Linked DNA regions of Danio rerio. The protein of the gene in region 1 binds, or shares a complex with, the protein of each later gene. Links are inferred from orthologs where the notes say so. Each region holds a gene or a part of one and is shown on either strand. Other genes may lie near its edges.

The links.
Region 2: the proteins of itsn1 (region 1) and fchsd2 are in contact, whole or in part, in a crystal structure (PDB 6GBU), measured with the Homo sapiens proteins. The link is inferred for Danio rerio from reciprocal best matches to the Homo sapiens genes ITSN1 and FCHSD2. Residues at the interface, in NP_003015.2 of Homo sapiens: Pro1076, Ile1078, Gly1098, Leu1100, Leu1102, Gln1117, Ala1118, Arg1119, Gly1120, Lys1121, Lys1122, Arg1123, Leu1136, Ser1137, Pro1138; in NP_055639.2 of Homo sapiens: Tyr576, Gln581, Thr582, Asp584, Glu585, Gln602, Asp603, Asp604, Asp605, Gly606, Phe607, Val618, Pro620, Val622, Leu623.

What each region holds. Positions count from the first base shown.
Region 1 is NC_133176.1:50,394,218-50,398,506, reverse strand, and holds the start of itsn1 (intersectin-1), read left to right. Parts: upstream 1-1,483; 5' UTR 1,484-1,659; intron 1,660-4,289. UniProt on the Homo sapiens protein: Adapter protein that provides a link between the endocytic membrane traffic and the actin assembly machinery. Acts as a guanine nucleotide exchange factor (GEF) for CDC42, and thereby stimulates actin nucleation mediated by WASL and the ARP2/3 complex.
Region 2 is NC_133193.1:4,391,714-4,395,544, reverse strand, and holds part of fchsd2 (F-BAR and double SH3 domains protein 2), read left to right. Parts: intron 1-3,108; coding exon 3,109-3,286; intron 3,287-3,831. UniProt on the Homo sapiens protein: Adapter protein that plays a role in endocytosis via clathrin-coated pits. Contributes to the internalization of cell surface receptors, such as integrin ITGB1 and transferrin receptor.

The DNA.
Region 1 (4,289 bases):
TATCCAGCATATGTTTTATGCAGCAAGAAAATCACTGAGAAACACTTGGATATTTCCACCAAATAATGTCAAGTCAATAAACCCTAATAACATATCAATAAATTGCGACGTTTCATACGTGACACTTAATAAAAAAATGACAATGACGTCATGGGAAATTCACAAGGCACAATATTAACGTTTTTTTTTTAAATATGTAAATATAAATTATTTATTTTAAAATAATTAACACGCACACCTGGGGGAAACATTTGTAATAATTATTTTTGTAGTATAATTTCTATGCAAGAAAAAAAAATTCACAGAATAACTTATGTAATAATCATTTATTATTTTATCTTAGGCTTAGCTAGTCCCTTATTAATCAGGGGTCGCCATAGCGGAATGAACCGCCAGCTATTCTGGCATATGAATTTTATGCAGCAGATGCCCTTCTAGCCGCAACCCATTACTGGGATTAGTTGGTGGTTCATTCTGCTGTGGCGACCTCTGAATAATAAAGGAACTAAGCCAAAAAGAAAATTAATGAATTATAGGACTTTGTGACCTGGACGCCCTTCAAAATTGTTTTACAATTTACACATTAGATTGTTGAAATTAATAAAAAAAAACTTAACATCATTAGAAATTTAGAAGCTCCAGTAATTTTAATATTCCTGTGTTTTGCTTTTACTTCAGTTTTTAAATAAATGACAAATTAAAATAAAATAAAACTTAAATCTTGATGTAAGCCATTTTATCTTATAGTGAACCTGATTTTTTCTTACTTTAGAAAATCATCTGGAAATTTACTGAGGCCTTTAGTGGGCCCCAAACACAAAAGAAGATATTCTGAAGAAAGCTGGAAACTGGTAACCGTTGACTTCCATAGTACTTGTTTGTTTTTTTATACTATGGAACTCAATGGTTACCGAATTTCAGCATTCTTCAAAATATCTTGTTTTAAGTTCAGCAAAAAATAAAATAAAATAATAATAATAAAATAAATAAAAAGGGTTTAGAACCAAGTGAAGGCAAGAAAATAATGAGTAAATGTTTATTTTTGGCCAAACTATCCCTTTAAGATTCTACTGTATGCAGTAAACAGAAGCGCTATCGGGTTATTATGCATTTTGACAACCTTTCTAAGGATATCTTTTAAATTTGTTTTTGTTCTTTTTTTTCTCTTTTTGTTTATTGCTAATGCCACATTTATTTATTTATTTATTTATCTTGTTTTCACGTTTTAGGTATTATTATTTTTGTATTAATTACATTTTTATTAATTATTATTATTATCTTGTAAAAGATATAAAAGTGCTATTATTTGCATTATTTTTTATTAATTATTATATTTTTATGAATTATTATTATTATTTTCTTGTAAGAGATATATAAGTGCTATGGGTTAATTTGGGCCGCAGAGCGCCCTCTATGTGCAGTAAACAGGCAGACTCGGACGCCCCAATGACGTCCGCACGTTTCATTTTCCCCCTTTTACTTCACTACTAGCGAAGCTGCACAGAGGAAACGAGGAGCCACACAAGCAGCAGCCAAATAACGCCTGGAATTTACCTCGAGCGTCAAAAAAGGACAGAAGAGCCTCCGCCTGTCACCTCATGCCCCTTTAGTTGATTCCCTCGCAGAGTGCTGGAGTCATAATGGAAACTGAATGATGAGGTAAGAAGACTGTTTTTGAGCTCAGGCCGATTGTCCTTTTTATGACAGTGACTGCGGGAGGAGGAGGAGGAGGAATCTGTAGGATTTCAGGGCGCGCTTCGTCTCCATACACTAGCATATGCTCTGCAACGGTCACTCCAACGGTCATTTCCATTCAGAAACCGCATCAATAAGTACAATAGTCATTTATTCATAAAAACAGGCCTCTGTAAGCTCCCCTTCTCCACGCCGAGATTGCAGCTAACGTTAAACCTCTGCTCTGATTTACTGGTTTAGTTAGCAGTCTTGCTAACGGCTGCTGGTATGTTTTTATCAGTGACAGCAGCTCAAAAACTGCACCTCTGTGGTAAAACACATGGATATAGTGGATTATTAGGACCTCGAGAGGGCTGAGGACATGTGTGTTACATGTAGGATGTAGAAAGAGTGAGTTTGGTCAGTGAAGACCACCAGCTCATCTTCTCACATGGCTGCAGGTCTCATCTGTAGCACTTGCATATGGAGATGCTCAAGTGTGCATGATGATGACGACTCCATCTTTTCTCCAGTGCACATGTGTGTTTGTGTGTATGCATACTAGCCAGGAGAAACATGGGTTATTATCCTGTGATTATGTCTGGTGATTAAGGCTCAGATCCTGTAGTGCAGTCTGGCAGTGGATTTGGGTGCTTTGTCTTTAAGCCACAGTCCTGTATAGTATGTAAACACTGTCAGATTGGAGGGTGGTTTACGAGATCTTATGAGCTGTGCAGCTGGAGACTTTCCCTCAGGTCAGGCTGGTCTTAAACCTGTTCAGCTCCTGGTTTATACACGCGTTCCTTGATCACAGGACTTAAGCGGTAGACTTGAAATGTGACCTCACAAACTGATCTAAGGTTAGATTTTTGGTTGCTAGGATGTACCCGGGTATTCAAATATGACAGGCCCAAGTGCTGTAGAAGTGCAACCAACGTTGATCAAAATTTTAAGCACTATTGAAGAATGTTTTGTGTTTGTAATTGTGTTTAAAGTTTTTATAATATTCAAATGTAAATCTAACATTGTTAATATTAAAATGAAATATGTCTAAACATTACCCAGACTGTCATAGTCACTCTAATGTAAATGAGAAAGCATATCTGCATATTATTATCAGGCTTTTATTGAGGCATGCCAATTTATATTTGTAGATGTATGAATTCATTTACAAATATCAATTGACAGGCCTCCAAAAAGGAAACTTATTTATTAGAGTCTTCAAACAACCAATGAAATAAATAACATTTGGCAGAATAATGGAATTTTATTAGAGGGCCTGAAATTTTTTCTATGCAACCGCAAAATATATTTGGGAGCATTTGTGCGAGTGCATAAAATTGTTATCGTGCTACCAGTTTTCACAGCAAAAAAACACCAAACGCAGCGCTCGGGAATGGTTTAAAATAGTTGACATGTCAACTTGCTGCAGGAAACAAAGCCCCCATTGCTTGTCCCACCTTCAAGCTCTTCTTATTGGCCCACTGCGTTAGAACATAAGGCGATTAGATTGGTTAACATCAGCTCTTAATTACTCAGTTTCGATGACATCGAGATCCAGCCGCGAAAATGTAAAGGTCTGGATACGAGAGAATGAAAACAACACTGACAGATGTGGTTTTAGAAACCACCTAAAGTTACAAATAATGGCACATCTGATTAGTGATCATGTAATGAATGTCAATCCAGCATTTACACTTTTCGACGAGTGGATAAAAGACTTCCAGTGGTTAAAGTCCGCTATGAAAATGACTAAAGCATTCACTGTAGAGCCGGTGGGACTGAGTTTTCAGGGAACAGTCATAATTTGACTCACAATTTTTGGTGGGTGCAACTAAATTTTGTCTGATGGGCCTACATTTTTGAAGTTAGGAGTACCGGTGCTACCAAGGAAAAAGGTTAATTTCGAGCCCTGTATTGGTTGATTTGCTTTTTGAAGTTATTTAAGTAGGGGTTTAAAAGGCAGAAAGTAACTATGTGTCTGTAATGTGGAAATGTCAGTTTGAGGATTTTGGAAATATAAATTGCATTTTTATAAAATCTATTTTCACTGAATCAAATCTAGAATAAGATTAAGAATGGAATGAGATCAAAATAGGAGATTGGGAATCAGAATTGAATCAAATTGGTACATTTAAATTGATACCAAGCTCTACTTTAAATATAGAACACACAACTACTCCACTTTCCTGCAAACAGTGCAAATTACAAAAACTTATGATGATGATGATGATAATCAAAATCAAGTCTTGATTTGACCATAAACAAACATCACACATTTCAGGGTAAGACATGTCAGACGAGAGGTAGCGTTGAAGAGTAAATAAGATACATTTTGGAAAAGGATATTATACATCATATTACATGCACAGGCATAATAATTGCCAAACTCTTAATAATTTTAACAAAACGAGAGGAATTCTTATAAAAATTGCATGTTTTATTTGATACTGTGCTGAATAATCCATTTTATGTAACGAATGTTAACATCTTTGATACTCTTTTAGGTGAAACTGCATATTCAGGATGGTTCTAAATAAAAACAGGCATGTAGTTTATATAAGACCTCTTATTTATGTTTAACTTAAATTCTGCATATGATATGGAAAGTTATA
Region 2 (3,831 bases), on another chromosome or scaffold:
AAAAGTACTCGAGTAGTGAGTAATACACTGTAAAAAGCAGATGCGTTTACATGTGATTTGTGAATGTGTGTGTAAACGTAACATTCTGTAGTGCATCTAGTTATTGCCCAGCAGGCACACAACATCATAAGACGTTAATATTAGGTTCGATTTAGGTTGTGATGTCAAGTGACCAAAATTTTATGTCTATCCAGCGTCTAAAGACAAGGTTATGTTAATGTCCAATAATTGTTAGAAAAAAGGTTGTTAGAAAGTGACCAAAATCCAAAGTCGAGCCAGCATCTTAAACCAACGTCATATTGACGTCAACTACTGACATTTATTCGTCAGGTATGGCAACCAGAATCCAACATCTGATAGACGTCATAGTGGTAACGTCCCCACAACGTCAAGCTTTAATATCATTAGACGTTGATATTTGGTTGATTTTAGGTTGGATGTTGAACATTGACGTACAGTAGGCCTGACATTGGGTTCTGACATCAACCCGATTTTTGTTTCCCCTATGTTGGGGTACAACTTCAATCTGATGTCATGTTGATGTCTTGTGCCTGCTGGGTGTTTAAGGCCATTTTGGTCATCTTACAGTAAACATCCGTCATCTTCTCATCAGTGACATGCATCTAAACAATCACTGGGTCATTACGTGATTTTAAACATCTTCTTAGACACTTTTAATGCTTTCAAACAGTTTGCTGCTATTATAAAATTGCCCATGTCTTGAGGTTGTTCATTATGATGCGATTCACCTTATATGTGTGATTTGATTGGACAGGAAAAACAGGACTGATTTTTCTAATCCTCATAGACAAGAGAAAAAAAGTCTGCAAGTTGAAGGAAAGTAATGGAGTAAAAGTACACAAAGAAAAGTAAAAGTAAACATTTTTTAAAACTACTTAGTAAATTACAATTTCTGAGAACAACTACTAAGTTACAGTAATTTGAGTATTTTTGATTAGTTACTTTACATCACTGTAGTGTTAGATTTTGCTGTATTTGCGTTAACCGTTCTTGGGTGGCTCTTCAATGTATTAGATTACTCTAATACATAAAATAAGTAAGCTGACCAAAGTTCTTACGGAGAGAAGACTTAATTGAAGACAATGAATAGTGCAGTTCCTCAGCAGTGATGTTAACCCGTCAGTCTTCAAGTAACTTAACCCGAAGTACTGTCTGTGAGACAGTACTTTATACTAGAATCATACAAACCATTCTGTGTTTACGATGCTCAGCAGGACCCTCTTATCAGATGTTTCAGCTGTTGTTTTGCTAGTACCCATTGAGATTGTAAAAGGGTCATTTAGTTCACACCTATCCATTTGTGGGGGTTGAGGCACAGGTCAACCCATCATATCACATCAGAGTTTAATCAATGTAAATGCAACAGAACTAAACTGCACATAATCTTTCAATACTGTAGTTACATACTACTTATACACACCTAGTTACCATGTAAGTTCACAAGTATAAGCAACATTTAATATAAAGTGGGACCCAACGTCTGAGCTCATGGCAGTCAGTGGGTGTTTTGAGCACAGCTCCTTAGGTGAGAGCAGCTCACGTCGGACAGTTCATCAGAGATCTACCACTAGACCTCATATAGTTGTTAAACTTGATATTTTCTCAATATTATTCTCAATATCCAATTTTAGATGTCTCTGTTTTCCCCAAGGGGCAACATCCCGCTCTCCCTCGTAAAGCTAATACAGAAGTAACTGTAACTGCAGTTCATTGAAATTCCACTAGGCCCGGCTCCATAATAGAGCACATTTCCATTGACCCTAATGTTAAAATGTCCGCATTTTTATAACTCATCCATTTAGTTTATATTAGGTTATATTTAGGGTGCTTTCACACCTACACTTTTGTTTCGGAACACGTCTCGTTTGCCCAGTTAGCGCGGTTCGTTTGGCATATGTGAACAGGGCAATCGCTCTCTGTTCCACGCCAAAGTAATCGCTCCGAGATCGCTTGAATGAGGTGGTCTCGGCTCGATTAGAACGAACCCTGGAGCGGTTCGATTGCAGTGAGAAAGCGATCCGATCCGAGCGCGGTTATATCACAGTGTTTTATGGATATGTAATAGGCTTACGACTATATGAAGAGAGAAATATGAGTAGGGCGGGAAGTTTCGCGAGTCTACGGATGCTCGATTGATGATCTCCTGGTATTCTCGCGTCTCCCTCCCGGTCCTCAAATAGGCATCGTCGCGCACCCTTCTCACCCCTTCCCACCGCGTCTCTCCTCAGACACGTAGCGCGCGCACCCTGTCAATCACCACCAAACCACCACCTCTCCTGACAGCTGAGCAGGACGCTGCAAAATAAACCCTGACACTCTGACCAATGTGAGGAGAGTTTACTCGCACGTGACTTGTTTTAGCTCTTTTGGTCCGATTAGAAACTTTGCAGTGTGAAAGCGAACCGCTCCAAGAGCAAAGAGCATCAATGTAACAATTGTAATCTCTGTTTCGGAACAACTGAATCGATTCACAGATGTGAAAGCACCCTTAGTCTGCATAATTAAGGGCGTGGCCACTTGAGTGACAGGTCTCTTCACCTCAGCTGATTCCGGCTGATTAGCTGCTGAACTCGGCATATTCATCGTATTTTTCTTGTGTTTTATTTGGCTTTACACAGTCAGTTGCCTTTTGGGATTATTTCGTACCATTATCAAATGATGTGGCACGCTGTGTGCACTTAATTGTGCTAGAACACAAACGAGTCGCAGGTAATGAAGGATTAAGCGTTTCTTCCAAAGAAAAGCCTGTCTAAGCAAAATGCTTGCAGGCGTCTGTAGCTCTGCCTCTTTGCCCTTGTTTGGTATCCCACGGTCGGCGCAATGACGCACTAACAAAATGGCAACAGTTAGCCACGCCTACTTGTAGCTTCATTTGCGCTATTCATCTTTTACAGTCTATGGTTTTCCCCCATCCACACTGACACGGAGCAGCAGCATTTTAAAACCAAAACGGCCTCTCTAGCGTTTCCAAAACACTCCCATTTTGGGGCTGAAAATCTCTGGTGTAGTGTGCAGACGGAAGGCGTAACCTTAGGTCTCCTCATTAAAGTCTGCCTCTAAATGTTGTGTTGCATTTGTTGGTTGCAGGCGCGGAATAAGACCGGGCAGGTGGGCTACGTTCCAGAGAAGTACCTGCAGTTCCCCACCTCTAACAGTGTACTGAGCATGCTCCAATCCCTCGCCGCGCTGGACGCCAGATCACACTCCTCCAGCAACTCCACTGAGCCTGAGCTGGCATCAGGCAGCTTCAATGGAGACAGCAGCAGTAAGACACGCAACCATACACACATACAAATCAAAAACACAAACACACACATACAAAACACACATGCAAACACACACACACAACTCTAAGAAACATACAAACACACACAAAACACACATGAAAACACATACAAATAGACACACACACATATACTGTATACACACACACAAAACATAAATAGCCACAAACACAATTACACACACACACAGTTGCACGGGGGCACAAACATACACATAAACACAAACAAACACACATACTGTACAAACACACATACTGTACAAACACACATACTGTACAAACACATACACACACACACCGAGAGACAACCACATAAACACACACACACACACATACATACACACATACAAAAACACACATGCAAACACACACATACAAACAGGAACACATGCACACACACAAACACACACAAAACAGACATACATACAAACAGGCACAAACATGAACACACACACAAGCAAACACATACGAACACACACAAAACACACACATATCCAAACGCAACACAAAACAAATACACAAGCGTA